Linked DNA regions of Rattus norvegicus. The protein of the gene in region 3 purifies or fractionates together with the protein of the main gene of each other region. This does not show direct contact. Links are inferred from orthologs where the notes say so. Each region holds a gene or a part of one and is shown on either strand. Other genes may lie near its edges.

Region 1 (5,847 bases), on a different chromosome or scaffold from region 3:
GCCCTGTGGATATATCACCCCAGTTTGGGACACAGCAGCCCTGACACACTCAGAATAACAGCTTGTACACATGGAATGAGGCTCTCTGGATTGGGTTTCTGCTGGTTCATGGTCTGGTGGTGTAGCTCAGTGATATTGGACGTGGTTTGGTGGCCCAGGCCCAGGTTTGATTCCCAAGCACAGAAACAGAAACAGAGGTCTTCTAAAAGTAGAGAAGAATCCTTCCTTATCTATTCAACTTTATAGTGGCCGTCTGGTATTCCTAGGCTCAAGGCTCTAGCACAAATCTATTTCTGTGATCATTCTTTTTTTTTTTTTTTTTTTTTTTTTTCGGAGCTGGGGACCGAACCCAGGGCCTTGCGCTTCCTAGGTAAGCGCTCTACCACTGAGCTAAATCCACAGCCCCTTCTGTGATCATTCTTGTCTGCCTCTCAAATGTCTCCCTTTAAATTTAGGGTTCACTTAGGCAATCCAGATAGATCTCAGAAACTTCAGTCACTATCACTGCAGCTTAACATGGTTATTCGTTGGGGCTCACTCTTCAGCCTGACATACACAGCACATGAAGCACACACCCTAAACACAGACATACAAATAGGAACCTAGAGGTATAAGCCAGAAACAGTGAAACGACACCCAGACATGCTTGAATATGTACAAACACACTTGCAGGTTTGGCCAGACAAGGGTATGTATAAAGTTTTGTAACATCCCCATCTGCACAGATATAATTACCCAAGCGCACAAATGCTAGTGCATAATCACCCACTAACACTAGAAGTGCCATACCACATGGTGCATATGAGTGCACTACATTGTAAGACTTCTTGACACTTAAATATGCACACCTATACACACACACACACACACACACACACACACACACACACAATTACAGGGAGGTGGGGCTGGAGAGAGAATACAGTTGCTGCTCTTGCAGAATTGAGTTTCCAGCACCCTCCTCAGGCAGCTCACAACTGCCGGTAGCTTCAGGGGATCTAATGCCCTCGTCTACATTATGATGCCCACGCATGACCACCACCTGATAACACATGGCCACTTAGACACATAACAACCTATGGACGTTGGTAGATCACATTTGTGAAAACTCATATTTACACAGGGAATGCTGACAACCTTGAACGCAGCACCTCAAGGTATGCACACTGATCTCCACCAACATTCTGATGTTCCACATCCTGGGAGAATCACAGAAGGTGACACATGCCTTTAATCCCGGCATATGGGAGGCAGAGACAGGCAGATCTCTGAATTTGATGCTGGCCTGGTCTACAAAGGGCTACACAGTGAAACCCGTTTGAAAAAACAGTGGGGGCGGGGCTGGGGGGGGCAGGTGACAATGTTATGACTTCCAAATGAAAGCTGAATTTTTCTCTTCTCTATCGAGTGCTCCTGTGGAGCCCCAGACTTGGCACTCTACTTCCTTATCAGCCAGCCTGCTCCCCCCTAGTCTGTCAAAGGGGTGTTTACTTCTCTGCTTCATTTATTCCCAAGTCCTGTGGGCTGGGATGCCATTCACCACCACCGTCCAGTCCAGATCCTACCCTAGCTCTGGGCCAGAGAAGCTCGGTACTGGCTGTTGGTCTAGGACCACTGTTCACAAAGGGAGAAGTTGATTCAATAGCTAGTAACGCCAATAAAGCCTATTGGTCTTAACAGTGTCTAGATTGACTAAGGTGGCCTCAGGGACAGATAGAGGCTGAGGTACGCCCTGACAGCCTATGGATGTCCTGTAACTCTTCATAGGATCTACTTCAGCTAGCGCAACCACACAGCTTGCTTAGTCTGTGAGACATGATCTGGGGTAGTGTCCAGAGTTCCTGACGTGCCTCAGTTTACTGGACTGTCTACAAAGCGACTCCTGCCCTAGGCGCGAGTGACAGATCTCTTGGCCCTGGAGGCGAGTACCACCTAGTCTACGGATCTCTCCGTGGAGCGGCAGACCGGCCCCACTGGCCCCTTCCCCGCAGCGCCGGCCGCGTGAATACCGCGAGAGTTCGCCCCCTCCCCCCCACCCCACCCCCCCGCGCAGTAAAACTGTCAAAGGTAGGAGGGGCGGGAGCGCGCATGTGCGCAGCACGGCGCGCAGTGTGCGCCGCCCGGACCCCGCGCCCCGCGCCCCGCGCCCCGGCCCGGCTCTGGCTCCGGCCTTGCCCGGCCGCACCCCTTGGGCGCGCTGCAGGTAAGCGCCGGCACTGCCTGCTCTACCGCGGTCCCGGCGCCACCCGCGCCCCGCACCAGCCCTGTGCCCCGCCCGCCTCCCCGCCGCGCCCGGACCCGCGCCGCGCCCCACTCCCCGCGTCGGCGCCGTCCTCCCGCCTCCTCCTCCAGAAAAAGTCGCCATTTTGGTTCACTGCCTTCGCCCCCCCGCGGTCGGCGCTTCCGGGCCAGGCTGCAGCCCGTGTCCGGCCTCAGGTGACAGGTGGGTGGCCACGGGCCTCCAGGTGCGCCTCTTGGCTGCGCTCGCCAGGCCAGGCGGAGTGGCCTGAGTCGGTGGTAGCGTCCTCTTCCCTGGAGGATACAAGGGAGATCTCAGGGACCCCAGGTGGAGGAGGGGTTTCCTCCTACTCTGGCGACCAGGCCTTACCCCTAATTCTGATCTCTGAAAGACTGGAATGTTGCAGCAGGCCGTATACCCCGGGCCTCAAATGTAGTCGGGGTTCTGGATAACTCATTTCCTTCTGAAGCTGCAAAACGAGGATATCCCGAGAACTTTGGTTGACCTAAGACCCTCCTCCCCTCCCCTAGGCCCAGGATGTTGCCCTTGGCAATGGACAGTGATTGTCCTGACCTCTGACCTTAGCACTTTTGGATATAGCAGCCCCTACCCAACCACACTGATTTGAGTTGATCAAAAACTGTTAAGAGAAGGCTCACCTGCTTGAACCTTGCTCTTTGGTACCGCCCCCTTCTGTGGGTTTGGGTGCCTCTGAGAGGCCTCAACATGCTGTGCTCAGAGCCTTCCTCAGTTTTCAGGGTATGTGGTGCTTCGAGCAGAACAGTCCCTGGAGGCCCAACCCCAGGGCAGCAGCATGCATATTCTATAGCCTCTGCTTGCCAGTACTGGCTATAACTTGTTTAGCCGAAGTTGCTTCCTAGGCCAGGAACCTAGAAGCTATTGAAAATAGCAAGAAATGGTGGCTGCTAGGCTGTGGTGGTTCAGGGGCTGACCTGGTGCCTTCATCTGGGGGGGAAGGGGCCCTGGCTGCACAGAAGGTTGAGAAGGCAGGCAGGTAGGATGGCTCAGCAAGCATGGGGACCAAAATATATTTCTAGTGAGTATATTTCACTTTACCAACCAGAGAGGCAGGAGCATGTGGTGGGGAAGTGGCTCCTGTGCCTGTGGAGAGGTCTTCAAGGGTGCTTATCTGGGTGCTCAGCCATCCCTGAGGTGGATGATGTGGCTGCCTGTGAGCCAGCAACCATTACTAGTGTTAATTGTCCCCTATGAGGAATATTATCAGTCTCGCTCAATTGCATGGGCCCCTTGTGAACACAGGCCCCACCTGATCCTCAGCACCCTTTGGTCTCATGTGTCTAGATGAGGGTGTAGGTGAGTGTGTCAAATGGAGTAGGGTCTCTGCTCTTGTACGCTGCTCAAGCCTTCTGGGTTATTTAGAAAGACCTTGTCTGTGCAACCCCTCTCTAAGTTAGAAGCTTAAGTCACTTGTGTTTTGATGCGAAAGATACAGGAGGTCAGGCCTAGACAGTCATATTGGGGGCCTCTAGGATAACCCCAGTGGAGGCCTGGGTTGAGCCTATTCATCTCATAGGTCTGTACTTACTCTGCAGAGATGACGGAATCTTTCTGTGTTGGAGGAGGCCGTCGGCTTCAAGGATCCAGCAAAAGTGGACCTGGAAAGGGAGGCAGCCGGAAGGAGGTCCAGCTTCCCTTGTTGCAGGACCCACCAAAGCTGGGTGAGGAGCTAAGGCAGAAATCAGTTGTAGAGGGTACAGACAGTCAGTGGTAGAGTTACCTCCTTGGGCAGCCTGAGGACCTGTGTGGGCTGGAGATTGTTAGCCTGTTGTAGCCAGGCTCTTGACCTAGTCCCTGGGCCTTGATATGGGTGAGCCAAGACTCAGTCTGGGCTTCCTGCCCCTTGGGGTTCGGAGATATTGTGCAGCCACTGAGCCTTGCTGTCTCCTGTACTATAGGGATGCCAGTGGTCCACAGTGGACATACAGTGCCTAGCCAGGCCCCACTCTGCTTTGACCCCGGAAACTCAGCCAGTGACAAGACAGAAGGGAAGAAAAAAGGGAGGCCGAAAGCCGAGAACCAAGCTCTCCGAGATATTCCTGTGAGCTCCCTGAGGGTTAGAGTGGGGATCATTCTATTGAGTCTGTGAAGGCCACTTCCATGTCCTTACCAGCCCTCCATACATCCTGTGCCAGTTTGTCTCAGCATGTACCCTAGGGCCCTTGCGTCTGTTACCAAGTCCCAGTGGGCTGTTAGTAGTCACCAGCATAGGTCTGCAGCATGGCTTGAATTCTTGGTCTGCTCTTGAGGTTGAAGGGCTTATTTGGCTTGGGGGAGCTGTGAGTCTGGGTAGCTACAGGTCAGCAGCTTGGCCTTTTCCTCTGCCCAGCTCTCTCTGATGAACCAGTGGAAAGATGAATTCAAGGCACACTCAAGGGTGAAGTGTCCAAACTCAGGGTGCTGGCTAGAGTTCCCCAGCATCTATGGGCTCAAGTACCACTATCAGCGGTGCCAAGGGGTAAGGGGCTGTGGGTCAGGGAAGAGGAGGCCTGGGGGTGCATCTGGGCAGAGGCCCCCGGGGCCCCATCCCACACCTGCCCTCCCTGCCCAGGGCGCTATCTCAGATAGGCTGGCCTTCCCTTGCCCCTTCTGCGAGGCCGCATTCACCTCCAAGACCCAGCTGGAGAAGCACCGGATTTGGAATCACATGGACCATCCCCTACCTGCCCCCAAGCCTGGCCCAGTCAGCCGGCCAGTCACCATCAATCGGCCTGTTGGGGTCAGCAAGCCCATCGGAGTGAGCAAACCTGTTACTGTTGGCAAACCAGTGGGAGTCAGCAAGCCCATTGGCATCAGTAAGCCAGTCACAGTTAGTAGGCCTATACCAGTCACCAAGCCTGTCACAGTCAGTAGGCCCATGCAAGTCTCTAGGCCTGTGCCAGTCACCAAACCCATCCCAATCACCAAACCTGTGCCACTCACCAAACATATGCCAGTTACCAAGCTTGTGACAGTTTCAAAACCTGTGCCACTCACCAAGCCAGTACCAGTCAGCAGGCCCATTGTGGTCAGCAAGCCTGTGCCGGTCAGCAGGCCCATCGCCATCAGCAGACACACACCACCCTGCAAAATGGTGTTGCTGTCCAAATCTGAGAACAAAACACTTCGTGCTACAGGCAAGAACAGCAATAAGAAAAGGTACAGGAAGTCATTTGAGGTGGTGAGTTGTCATGTGTGCCTTGAGGGGGTGAGAGGGCTACTGGGTTTGCCTGGACCTCACCTTGCCTGCCACTTACAGGGCTGCAGACAGTTTGGACACCTGCCCCATCCTGCCCAAGCAGGCCAGGCAGGAGAATGGAGAGTATGGCCCATCCACTGTGGACCAGAGTGTGACCTTCCAACTGAGTACAGATCCTAGCAACAGCTCCCTGCTGCCAGGCAGCAGGCCCCTGATGGGCAAAGAGGCATTGCGGCCTATAGGTCCAGTGTCCCAGCCAGAGGAGGACCCTGAGCGCACAAAGCACAGTAAGACAAGAGCCCTGGGGAGACTGGCCATGATGGGCTCTGGCCTTTCAATGACTATGTGACCAGGGTCTTGGCACTCATTTTCTCTCCCCTGAGTCAGGAAG
Region 2 (6,193 bases), on a different chromosome or scaffold from region 3:
AGCTGCAGGAGGCGGGGAGGGGGAGCGTTGGGTTGCCAAGCCGTCCGGTAAGCCTGCGGTGGCCGCAGAGACCTGCGCTCTGCGCGGGGATGGGGGTGGAAAAAAAGTGAACCTAGAAGCCAAGGGCAAACTTGCCACATCCCTGTGTTCGGCCGTGCCCCTAAACTCGAGAGAACACTCTCCATCCCTCGCCACCAAAAATGCCTTCCCAGAAAGGACCCCAGCGTGCACCCGGCTCCCCGCCGGGAGCTCCCGGGTCCTCTCGCACGTGGGGGTGTCGGCTGCGCGCCCCAGCGCTTCTCCACGGCCCTAGCCAAAAGCATTTTTTTAAGTCAAAATGAAGAACAAAGACCTAAGGGGTAATGGGGGGTGGAGAAAGGGAATTCAGCCTAACCGTTCGTTGCCCCCCACCCCCACTCTCCCAACGCTCGTCCCTCCCCCGCCGAGAAACGCCGGGCAGGGGGTGGGGTAGGCTCTGGTACAGGTTCAAGTTCGTGGAGCTTTTCTTGATCTTGTTCTGCCTCCTAGCGACCAAATGGCTCATTCAGTCCACGTAGCTGAGGACGGGGCTGGGGGCGGGGGTGGGGGGGTAGAGGGGGTGGAGGGGAAGTCCTACGGACCCGGCAGGCTCCTGCCCTCTAAGCACCCAGAAAATGAAAGACGTGATCCCTGCACATACCCCTCCATCTGGCCTCCTAGTCCAGTGTCCTTCCCGGGACAACAGCGAGACTAGCCCTCCCAGCCTGGAGAGGCCCAGAAGAGACCTAAGTGGGAGGAGAGTACTGAGCAACTCGGACTGCGCCTCCCACACTGTCCCTCTCGCCCCTCATGGCATCCTTCCGAAAGTCCCAATGTCCCGGCTTTCCCGAGTCCTGCGAACACTGCCCTTCCTTCCCGCCGGTACCTGGCCGGGCTGTAACTTCACACCGTCGCGCGCCGCGTCTGCTCTGTATCCGGCGCGGCCGGTGGGAGTGGGGGCGGGGGAGAGCGGCGAGGGAGAGATGCGCGGGGGTGGGGAGAGGGAGGGCCCCGCAACGTGCCAGGGCGGGGGAGCTTCTGAAGTGTGTGACAAGTTCCAGGGCCCAGAGGGAAAAATATTCAATTCCCAATGAGCACCCCACCCTCGACAAATGCAGGAGAGACATGGGGGTCCTTCAAGCTTTCGTCGAAAAATAAGAGTCATGAGTGAAAAAGAAGGAATTGAAGGGGGGCTTGGGGGGGAGGCTCTATGTCTTTTCTTACTGGACTCAAACTTTCCTAAGTGCCCACCACCAGCCTCTCCCAGCACACCTCAAGTAGAGATTATCGTCACCGCCACTAACACTTTACATAAACTCACAGAAACCCCTGCCCAAGACAGGCCCAGGGTAGAGGGCAAGAACCCAAAGGTGAGGCTCACTGAGTGCGGGGACCCTGCACCCCCAAAATGCACACTCAACACACTTCTCCTGCCCCGCCCCCTCCCCAACCTAGCCAAGAAACTGCTTTGGTCCGAGAGGCTACTGGCCAGATTTGGGGGGGGGGGGCTGTAAGCACGTGGTAACCTCTCAACGGCCCCAGAGTTAAGGACAAGAGGAACCTAAAAGAGTACCCCGGGTGCAGTTGAAGGGACTAGCAAAACTCGCCTTTACAGTTGCTTTGCAAAATTAAAAAAAAAAAAATGTTTTGCAAAACCGAGTTTCATCCAGCAGCTTTCGCTGTCTGAGAGGTCGGTGGGAGGGTTGGGTATTGTGCTAGGGGCGGACCAGAGCGCAGGCCGGGCTGGCGGAGTCGCAGCGTGGCCTGCCGCCCTGCCTGGCGGGTGGGCGGCGAGCGCCGGGTGGGCGATCTCGACTCCAGACTAGGGCACGGCGAGGTCGGGCGAGGCCCAGCCGCTGCGGCCGCCTGCTCCAGGGCTGCCGCGGCGCGCTCGGTCCTCTGTCTGTTTGTTGGCAGGAGGCTCCCGCACACGCGGTGCTTGTAAACATTCAGACACGAGATTTTTCCCAATCAAAATCCACTTCCACTTTTTTTGAAAATCTTCCAAAAAATAGTAAGAGGAGGGAGTTCCTCGCTTCCCTCTCCATGCCGCCGGGTTCTAAGTTTGCAACTTGATGGGGTTTGGGGGAAGGGGTGTCAGGGATTTTTTTTTTCCTTTTCTTTTTTCCCCCTCTCTTTTCTCTATTAAAGACTGGAATTTCTGCAGGGGTGGGGGTGCGAACGAATCCAGGAAAGAGGTGAAAAATACGACTGGCAGAATGTTTGGCTTCTTTGGGGGAGCAAGAAATTGTACATTCTCTTGCGTTGCTTAAATTTATTAATTTTTTTTATTTATTTTGCGCATCTTCGCCTCGTCTCCTTCAGGGCTCACCCAGGAGGGGCGGGCAGCAGCAACCCAGCAGCGGAGACTCCTGCACCCGCCCGCCCTCCCTCTACCGCGTGCCCCTGGCTGCCTCTTCGCTCGGCCCTTGCTCCTGCCCTTCGGCAGCGGTGGCGGCGCAGGAGGGCAAGCGCGAGGAGCCCGCACAAAAGGCGGCGGGACAAACACCCACCTCCGGCCGGAACAAAAGACGGCAGCGCCGGGCGCGACTCCGGTCCTTCCCGGTCACCCGGCCCTCCCAGCCGCTGCAGCCCCTCTCCCCGGACTCGGCTGACTGGGAAGCGCCAGCGGCTCTCTTCTACAGTCCCACTTTCGTACTATTGTGGGGGTGACTACTTTCCTCCCACTGCACACTTGACCATGCACACGTTGGCGTCCTAAGGCCGGTCTCACCTCTTTTCTCCCCAGGAATTGTTTTTCAGACTTGACTCCCTCCCTCCCCCCCCCTCCATTTTCCTATAGTGAAGTGGAAACAACCCCCTTTCCTTCAAGCTCCCACCCCCAGGTTTGCATGTGAGTGTCCGCGTCCTTAGCATTGTTCATTATTTTTGCAAAACTAGGGTAGAAATCATTGCATTCCTTTTTCAAAGAAGGAATAAAGCGGCGGAGAGAAGGAAAGAGGAGGAGTCAATTTTTTTATAAAAATTAAAAAGATGCGTGCCGTCTCAAAAGTGCACACGGTTCTCGTTCGAGAGGGCATGAGGGGCTTTTTCCCTTTTAATCTCTTTTTACTTCGACTACCGAAGGTTTTTCACCTGAAAAAAATTTAATGCATGCACACACCCCTCTCTTAACCTCACTCTTGCTTAGCGTCCCGCGCGCCCTCGTGATTATTAATAATTATTATTACTATTATTGGGTTACTTACGCGAGAATTCCCGTTTGCTTAAGTGCTGGGGTTTGCCTTGCTTGCGGCGAGACATGGTGGGCTGCGGGGCGGGCGGGCGGCGGCGGCGGCGGCGTGCGGACGACGGCTCGGTTCACATCGGGAGAGCCGGGTTAGAAAGAAGGAGACTCCAGAGAAAATATCTTCATCAGTGCCTTTTGACATCCAAAATAAATTAGAAATAATACAAAGATGGCGCAGGGAAGATGAATTGTGGGAGAGCCGTCATGGCTTTTTTTTTTTTTTAAGAAAAAAAAAAGAGAGAGAGAGGAAGAGAGAAGAGGGATAGAGGGAGAGAGAGAGAGAGAGATGAAAAAAATGGCAAAAGCCCCCCTGAGCTGCAAGTTCAAGTGCGGACGTGACGTCCCTGCGAACTTGAACGTCAGGAGTCTGGATGGACAGAGACACACAAAACATGGGCAGGGCGAGCAGGAGAGAAGGGGAGGAGGGAAGGGGAAGCTCACACCAATGGACACACATCAGGGGCTGGACATGAAAAAGAGACCAGGACAAGCCAATGGCCAGTGCGGGGCGGGGGAGGTGCGGGGCGGGGGGCTCCGCAGACGCCAGACGCGGCCCCTGGGGGGAGGGGCGGGCAGAGGGGAGGGGGCTCTGGGGCGGCTGGCTCACCAGTGGCCGCAGCGAGCGCCGCGGCGGTGGCGTGGCCCGGAGAGAAGAAAGGGGCGGCCGGGTGGGAGGGAGGAGTGAGGGGGAGCAAGACTTGCGCCCCGCTCCACTCCCCCCGACACACACACACACTCACCGACCCCAAAATGAAAAATTATTGAAGTGGGGGGTGGGGGCAGAGTGCTCCAAGACGCTGCAAGCCCAGAGTCAAGAGAGGAGCGGGCGGAGGGAAACCAGGTAGAGTAGGTCCCGGACACCCTCCTCCGCTCGCACACCCACTTCCCCTCCCCGCCAGGGGACGCCGGGGACCGGAGTACTAGCCCCGAGCTCGTGGCAGCGCTCGAGAAACTTTGCCCAGTGAAAGCTAGGAAAGAAAAAAAAAAAAATCACCCGAAGTTGAGAGCTGAGCGTCCAAGTTAAGAGCTCTGCTGCGGGCTAGGGAAGACGGGCGGGAGCGCGCTGGAGAGAGAAATCCAGCCCAAGTTTGGAGGGTCGTGTGTCCGGAAGGCCAGTGCCGGGGCCCGGGGAGAAGCCGACGCCGCCTGGAGAGAGGCGGTTGGGGCGAGGCTGGCGGCGCAGGCCTGGGCTCGAGGGCCGAGAGCGCGCCCCCAAGGCCAAGTCAGGGACCCGGGATCTGAGCGACCCTACAAACAGTCGGGGGCTGAATGCCACTGAAGCCCTGAATCCCCAGCTCCCGAGGATTGCAGGAACAGAAAGGTCGAGATACAGAGACCGAGGAGCCAGATTCCGGGTGTGTTTCAGTCCCCAGATGGGAGCACTCGGGGCCAGGGCTCGAGGCGCCCAAGCGTCCACCTCTGAGCAGTCGGCGGCCCGAGGACAAAGCACGGGTAGCCCCAGGAGCCCGGGTCTCTGGGAACCTGCTCGCCGCGCCGCGGGAGGTCCCGGAGCCTGATCCCGGGGAGGGACACACCCCCTCCCACTCCGGGCCACTGCGAAAGCACTGAGCGAAGGACAGAAAAATGTTTCTTACGGACAGAACACAATTGTTCCTAAGCTGTTACTCGGGGAAAGAGAAAATGGGGAAAAGGAAAGAAAACTGGCTAGCAGGAGCTGCGGGGGGGAACCACGGTGGTGAGACCCTCGGGTCACGGCCGCGCTGCCCAGGCGCCAGCAGCCACCACGCACACCCGGGACCCCGGAGGCCCCCCTCGGTCCCCTCTGCAGACCTTCCCTGGAAATTAGAGAAAGACCTGTTGGAAATAAACCCCTGTCTCTTTAATGCACACGCGCGCGCGCGCTGCCGCTGTCAAAAAGCGGGCTTCGCTCTGGCGTGGGATACTTTCAGTTTTACGTAAAATATACAGCAACAGCACCCCCTGCGATTGGAAAGTTTATTCAGAAACGTGCTGCAAAGTCCCCCGGCGTCTCCCGCCTCCCAGCCTCCCAGCCTGCCTGCACCTCCCTGCAGCCGCCGCCGCCGCCGCCGCCGCCGCCGCAGCAGCAGCAGCAGCAGCAGCAGCAGCCGCAGCAGCCGCAGCAGCAACAGCCAGGGAGACCGCGCTCGGGGTCCAAATCTAGCTGCGCCCAGGCGGGGGCGGGGGATGGACAGAGTCCCTGGGAGGCGCCGAGGGCGCAGGGTGGAGACCCGAACTGCAGGTGGAGGTCTGTGAGTCTCTGCAGAGCCAGGAGCCTTCCTCCCCTCTCCTCTAGACCTTGCACCCAGAGTCCTCGCACCCCTCCTCTGAGAGGTGTCCTATCCGTAAATTCGCCCACCCGCCGGGGGATTGTATTGTTTTAAGGCAGGGCCCTGGGCTTGCACATGCTCGCCCACCTCCCAGCCTCACTGGCTTGTGGCTGTTTATTCCTGTGTCTTAGGAAAGTTTCAAACCTATTAGAAAATGGCTTGCCTGACTCGGCGAAGCTTCGGGCCCCTCTGAGTTAGAAATACAGGTTTTGATGCCCTGCGCTAGGAGAGCTATGGGCTAGACTGGTTTGGGGAATGCTGTTTCCCTCTAGCTGGTTTTCCTGGCGGCGGCGGGGGTGGGGTGAGGGTCTTGAATTCTGTTTAAGGAGCAGGAAGACTCTATTGCAGTAACTGCACGACACCGTTTCCCCTTTTCACTGAGTTCTTCAGAGCAGGTCAGCATCTCTTCCTCTGGTTTTTTTTTTTTGTTTTTTTTTTTTTTTTTTTTTTTTGCTTGTTAAACCAGGCTTAGAATCACCAAATGAATGTCGCCGCGGGAGGTGGGAGGGGAGGGGCTACAGGGGTGGACCTCTACCGGTTAAGTGAGAGGAGTGTAGAAGAAAGTACAACCTGGAGGCCTCGGGAAAATAAATAAATAAATAATAAATAAATAAAT
Region 3 (6,061 bases):
CGTTGCTTACCCTCTGCCAAACGATCTGGGATCTCAGCTTGGAATTTGCAACCAACTCTGATCTCCCCTTGATCAGCCAGAAGTGTCTTCTGCACAGGGTCGAACACCAGTGAGTAAAAAAAGCAGTCCTGAAGGGGAAGAGAGGAGGTTGGTGGGAAGGAGTCCACTGAAAAGTGGGTCTACCCAGACTTCCCTGCTGAGGTCCTTTACCTCTTCACCTGTCTAAGCCTTTAGGAGGCAACATTTCCTCACCTCCCTCTTCTCTTAATACCTCCTCACCTCCTTTTCCAGATATTGGTTTAAGATATCCGTCTCGTTCAAGAGAGTCACACTGCACTTCCCCCTAAGAAAAAAAGACAGACCCAAAAAGTCCTGAATGAGCGACGCATCCCTTCTTATCTACCATCTCAATACACTACTCCTCTTCTCTCCATCTTTTAAATGAGGGCACGTAGGCCACAGTGACCCTGATCGTCCTATACCTTATGTGGGTGGCCGGTAATGATTCAAACTGCCGAGAAAGAAAAAGCTCTCGGTGCTTCAGTTGATGTCTCTGCTGCTCCGAGACCCCTGGCTGTTTTGATTCCTCCTCAAACTCCCCTAAAATGTTGAGGAAGAAACCAAGTCAGAAACTAACTCAGAAAACAGGCACCTTGCGCAAGGCCCTGGGTTCGGTCCCCAGCTCCGAAAAAAAGAACCAAAAAAAAAAAAAAAGAAAACAGGCACCTTGAACAGCTGGCCAGGCCAGGCCACCCTACCTCAGCTGCTGTACCTCACCTTCCTCGGGCCTCACTCTTACCCCACCAGCCTTTCCTTCTGGCTTATACCTCAGTGTGGATGTTCAGTCCTCTCTTTAACTCCATCAAAGGAAGTATCACATCCTTCTAATGTGAGAGCACACTGGTGCCACGGACGTGCACTCAAGCCTAGCTGCCAATACTGATGCCACACAGAAAGCACAAACGAAGCCGTGACACAGTGTGATGTCACATCAACTCTTTCTTGCACAACCAGCCCAAGGTCCTAAAACCCAGTTAAGAAGTAAAAATAGCACACATGGTTGCTGCCTGTTCACCAGCTTGCCACACTTCAGAACTAGTTGCTGTGTCTGAAACATCACACGCAACCTTATGCTCTTTCTCGCTCTACTTGGCTAATAATAGTTTGTGGGCTTTCAAGAAGAGCAACTCTGAAACCAGTGCCAACACCTTCCTCACCAAGAGGCAGCAGCTCACACTGAAGTCTTGGTAGAAACAGTTAACCTGGCTAAGTGCCAACCAAAGTGGAAGAGGACAGAAAATGTAGGCACATGTTTGTCGATGCATTGTTCCCCTGAAAAGTTGGGGGTACATTGCGGGGGGGGGGGGGGGGGGGTTGTCTCTGTGTGTATACTCTGGGAAACCCAGGGCTAGGGCAAGAAGGACCACACCCCCACTCCTTATGATTGGATAAGGCCAAGGTCAGCCCCTGCCAGATGGGGCTGGAAACCCCAAAGGGCCTAGAAACTTGGTAGGCACAGCTCATTAACCCTTTCACGACTATGGCCTGAAAAAGAATCTAGGAAGAAGAAAGGAGTTAAAAGAAACTAAGCAAAAAAAAGATAGAGATCACAGAGAAAATGCAGACAAAGCAAAAAGCAGTAAGGTTGGAATGGAGAGGAAAAAGAAGGCAGGAAAGCTCAAGAACTTCTCCTAGCTTCCTATCACCTCCATCACTCCCACTACAGCATAAGCCTCCTGCCTGTTCTGCAGGTTTCTCAAAACCTTCACCTTGACCATCACTCACTAACCACCGTCCCAAAGTCCCCACAATGTCCCCAGTGCCTCACTAACCGCTGTCCCAAAATGTCCCCAAGTGCCTGCTTCTCTAAAGCTCCTTTCATTTCCTATCTAAATATCTCCACACAGAAGCCACACTCTGGCTTTCCTTATCATGGTCTGCCCGCCCTGCTTCCAACCCCAACAAGTAACAACAGGCCTCCCTCCGCACACCAGGCACTTCCACCCCCAAACTCACGCCCTGCCTTGGGCCTGCTACCAGGGGAAACACCTGCAGGAACATGTCTAGTCCTCAGATCCTGGGGAGAGAGGAAGAGGGGTAACGCATGGAAGCACTCACTAGCATTGCTGTCCGCCAAGCTGTTGAGGCTACTAGAAATATCCCTTCGCCGGAAAAGGCAGACAACCTTTGCTTCCACATTTCCGTTTGCAGTCTAAAGGAGGGAGAAAAACATGACGAGGAAAACTGGCCATTTGAAAGTGAAGGTACACAGAGTCCAACAACAGCAGTATCTCCCTAAGGATCTACGTAGAAGAGACGGAAAGACTTAACATGAAGACAAAATTCAAAGATAATTTCAGGACCAATGAAAAGGGTCTCCATGAGTTTAAGATCAGCCTGGTCTACACAGCAAGTTCCTGGCAGCCAAGGTTACATAATAGAGAGACCCTGTATCCTGTATCTTTAAAAAAAAAAAAAAGCTTCACTCACCTTATTGAGCTCCTCAATCCGTCTAACCAGGTAAGGATTGCTGGAGGAGTTCTCAAAATAGACATAATCTGTAGAAGGGGGTGGGGAAGAAACAAGATGATCAGAGGAGAGTACCCAGAAGAGAAAGTCGGTCTGTGTGCACCAAAAAGAGACAAAATTCTAGGTAGCGATGAAGTGGAGATGAAGTGGAGATGAAGTGGAGATGTGCGAGAAGACATTTAAGAAAATAAGTATTCGCCATTAGCTGGACAGCAGTGGCATACGCGTTTAATCCCAACACTCTGGGAGGCCGAGGCAGGAGGATCTCTTGCTTCATAACCAGTCAGTTCTACAACTCACAGTTCTGGGACAGACCGGGCTACACAGAGAAACCTTGTCTAGAAAGAAACAAGGAAAAAAGAAATCTGCCTCAAAAAGGAAAGAGAGAGAAAAAAAGGGGGTGGGGGAGGGGGAAGGAAGGAAGGGAGGATGAAAGGAAGAAAGGAAGAAAAAGAGATTATGGAAATACTTTGCCAGGCGGTGGTGCCACACACCTTTAGTTCCAGCAGTCAGAAGGCAGAGGCAAGCGGATCTCTGAGTTCGAGGCCAGCCTGGTCTACAGTATAAGTTCCAGGACAGCCAAGGCTACCCAGAGAAGAAACCTTGTCTAGAAAGAACAAGGAAAAGAGGAGGAAATGAGTTTTTACCCCCTACACCTGCAACAACCAATTCTAAAGTCAGATCTTCACTCAAAAGTGGGACTTAAGAGATAAGAACAGGGGCTTCCCTGGAGTCCAAAGAACTTTGCACTGAAGTTGAACCCCTGTATCGGAGAATTGAGTAAACTGTTCAGGCCCCACCTTGGTGAACACACAAGACGCCACAGAAAAGAAAAACCCTGCGCGCCTGCCTCTCCAACGGCTGGCCCGGTGGTCACTCCGGCGCCTTCCAAGGCCACTTCCAGCCCAGCGATCAAGTCGCGGATCTCAGAGCACCGTTACGGCTGCAGGTATGTCTCTGCGGTAGACTCTGAGCCCGACAGCGTCGCCGCCGCGGAACCACAGCTCGGTTCCGGTTCCGGTCGGTGCCGCGGCCCGTACAACCCCAGATGTGGCTCCCCCGCGCTTACGGACACCGAGTCTCCCTGGTCCCGGCCTCAGCCTTTTCCGCCCAGGGTACTCACCTCCTACCCGGTACATGTTAGCCGCCATGGCCGTTCCCGCCGCCGCCTCCGGCCACACAAAGAGGTCCGGGAGGCTCGCGGGGGCAAAGCTCAGCTCCAGACGAAGCCCCCAGCGCGGGGCTGACGCTTCGCGGAAGTGTCGATGGGGCCCGAGCAGCCGGCACCTCTGCTCACTCAGCCGTCGCGGTTCATCACTGCCCGCGCGACGACAACGCTGCTATAGCCTCACGCCGGGATACCGAGGCCGGCTCCGGTCTGCTCGCCTTCTTCCGGAACGAGCTCGGTTCCTGCCTGACCGGAGTCAGGTTCCGGCTCCTAGCGTCCTCACCGAGTCCCAGCAGACGTCGTGTGGTGCCAACCGCTGGGAAGGTTTGCCCTGCCCGCGTCCGGGTTCGCCTCCTTCCGGAACACCTTCGGCCGATCCGGAGAACAAGGCCCAGCTCTCGGCTCAGGTCGGAGAGCAAGACCCCACCGATCGGCCACTTCCGGAAGGAACTCGGCTCCTTTCGCTCAGCCGCGGCCCCGCGCTCGGTTATTTCCGTTACAGCTCGACCCCGCCCTCGAGGGCGGTGGGGGAGCTAGAATTAACTCTTTGCACTATGGGTCCTAGCAACTCCGACGGTGGCGCCTAGGGCGGGCGCGCGCGCGCCCTCACGCATCTTAAAGTTATTTGCAAGCCGCTTTGCCTGTTATTTGCATATTTGGTCTGAGCTCCCTTTTCTCTTCCCGCCCTGCACTTTTTTCTTTCATTCTAACACAACTGGGCCCCTGAGGGACCCGCCGCACAGAAGTACCAGGCAGTGACTTTTTTCTTTTTATTGCCCCTCACCGGGCAGAGTGTCAGAGTTGAATTGCCCGGCTCAACCAGCAAGTCTGTTATTGTGTGCAATGGGGTGGTTCACCCCTCCAGGAAAATGCGCAATTGGGAATGTATTAAGTCAAAGAAAAAGCCAGCCCAGGAAAAGACTGTCCTTGGTCCTAGGGGTTTTGGCCAGGGTGGGGCCAGACCACAGTACCAGAAGGACAAGACCTTCCGGCATCAATCACACGTCCAGGGAGGAGGCAGGGGACAGAGAGGGAGTTCTAGATGGCGTGGCAGGAGCGGGTCCAGAGCTCCCTGCCCCCAGCACTCGCCACTGAAAGATGCTAGCATCCTTGCCACCTAAGGAGACAAGGAATGAGTCGTCGTGTGTGAACCGGACACTAGTCACATGGCTGCCATGGCCTGAGTACATACGACTTGGAGCCTAGATGAGAAAAAAAGAAACAGTTGCAGCAATGGCAGGGTCCCAAACCTACCCTCCTGGGCCCAGTGGTCCCGAGGCCTCACCTTGGCTCGAGCGCATGGGTACTGAAAGAGGTGTACTTTGCAGAAGTCGTCTGCCACGGCCACCACCCGTTCATTGTGGGAGCGGCAAAGGGAGTTGATGTCTGTCCCGTCAGAGCCATCAGGCCACACACCTAACACAACAGGTAGCCTGAGCCAGGCTGCTACCCACAACCTAGAGCTGCAGTGTTTTCAGGTTGCCACTGTGTGATCCAGACAATCCTTCCAGTCCCAAGGGGCCGCCTGACCTGGATTTGCCGCCATGACCCCCACCCAGAGGGTGGCACACACCCAGTATTCTGAGCCCGGAATGGGTTCCTCCTTGTTTCCCCAGCCCTCCTAAAGGGATCCGGATTCTGGCTCACCATAGACGTGGAAGCCCAGCACACAGGTATAGGTGGCCCACTCACGGTCTCTGCTTTCGTAGCGATTCCTTAGCAGCTTGCAGCCTCCAGCCACATCCCCTAGGTGGAAATTGTCCCTACTCAGCTGTCACTCTTCCCTCAGAGAATGTGAACTGATCATAGGTACAGTGTCCATTATGACCCCCATTGTGTGCTTCCTAAGTTCACACTGAAGCTGTTTGATTTGGTTTGGCTTTGAGCTAGCCCTGCATAGTGGTACATGCCTTTAATCTGAGTACTAGAGAGGCAGACCAATCTCTGAGTTGAGAGCCACTCTTGTCTACAAAGTGAGTTCCAGGACAGCCAGGTGACAGAGGGAACCCTGTCTCAGAAACAGAGAAGCTAGCCTAGGCATCCCTGGAACTTTCCATTCCTGCCTCAAACTCTGGATAAAGTACTGACAGTTTCTCATCAGCTTCTCCTTCTTAAATAAAGTACCCCATCCCCATACACTTGCCCTAAGAAGCTATCCCAAAGCAAAGTCTTCTTAGTGCATCATTCTTTTTCCTTAATGTTGTATTTTGAGGCACAGTCTTCCTATGTAGCCTTGGCTGGCCTGGAACTCACTATGTAGATCAGGCTGGCCTTGAACTCACAGAAATCTAGCCACCTACCTCTGCCTCTCAAGTTCAGGAATTAAAGGCATGCACCACAATGCCTGGTCCATTTTTCAACTCC

The links.
Region 1: the proteins of Mta2 (region 3) and Zfp512b purify together in Homo sapiens (affinity purification with mass spectrometry; 3 studies listed by BioGRID and IntAct, with this or other methods). This does not show direct contact. The link is inferred for Rattus norvegicus from reciprocal best matches to the Homo sapiens genes MTA2 and ZNF512B.
Region 2: the proteins of Mta2 (region 3) and Bcl11a purify together in Homo sapiens (affinity purification with mass spectrometry; 4 studies listed by BioGRID and IntAct, with this or other methods). This does not show direct contact. The link is inferred for Rattus norvegicus from reciprocal best matches to the Homo sapiens genes MTA2 and BCL11A.

The regions. Positions count from the first base shown.
Region 1 is NC_086021.1:189,071,804-189,077,650, reverse strand, and holds the start of Zfp512b (zinc finger protein 512B), read left to right. Parts: upstream 1-2,443; intron 2,444-3,807; exon of another isoform or gene 3,808-3,813; coding exon of another isoform or gene 3,814-3,815; coding exon 3,816-3,939; intron 3,940-4,176; coding exon 4,177-4,319; intron 4,320-4,607; coding exon 4,608-4,736; coding exon of another isoform or gene 4,737-4,829; coding exon 4,830-5,416; intron 5,417-5,516; coding exon 5,517-5,743; intron 5,744-5,843; coding exon 5,844-5,847. UniProt on the Homo sapiens protein: Involved in transcriptional regulation by repressing gene expression. Associates with the nucleosome remodeling and histone deacetylase (NuRD) complex, which promotes transcriptional repression by histone deacetylation and nucleosome remodeling.
Region 2 is NC_086032.1:102,229,011-102,235,203, reverse strand, and holds the start of Bcl11a (B-cell lymphoma/leukemia 11A), read right to left. Parts: upstream 3,525-6,193; 5' UTR 3,283-3,524; coding exon 3,228-3,282; intron 2,978-3,227; exon of another isoform or gene 2,344-2,977; intron 2,033-2,343; exon of another isoform or gene 1,056-2,032; intron 1,050-1,055; exon of another isoform or gene 905-1,049; intron 896-904; exon of another isoform or gene 680-895; intron 334-679; exon of another isoform or gene 1-333. UniProt on the Homo sapiens protein: Transcription factor. Associated with the BAF SWI/SNF chromatin remodeling complex. Binds to the 5'-TGACCA-3' sequence motif in regulatory regions of target genes, including a distal promoter of the HBG1 hemoglobin subunit gamma-1 gene.
Region 3 is NC_086019.1:215,265,288-215,271,348, reverse strand, and holds the start of Mta2 (metastasis-associated protein MTA2), read right to left. Parts: upstream 4,064-6,061; 5' UTR 3,681-4,063; coding exon 3,653-3,680; intron 2,559-3,652; coding exon 2,491-2,558; intron 2,213-2,490; coding exon 2,119-2,212; intron 601-2,118; coding exon 483-600; intron 344-482; coding exon 280-343; intron 129-279; coding exon 11-128; intron 1-10. Other genes in the region: Eml3 (echinoderm microtubule-associated protein-like 3), read right to left, coding at 4,696-4,899, 4,983-5,113, 5,345-5,443. UniProt on the Homo sapiens protein: May function as a transcriptional coregulator. Acts as a component of the histone deacetylase NuRD complex which participates in the remodeling of chromatin.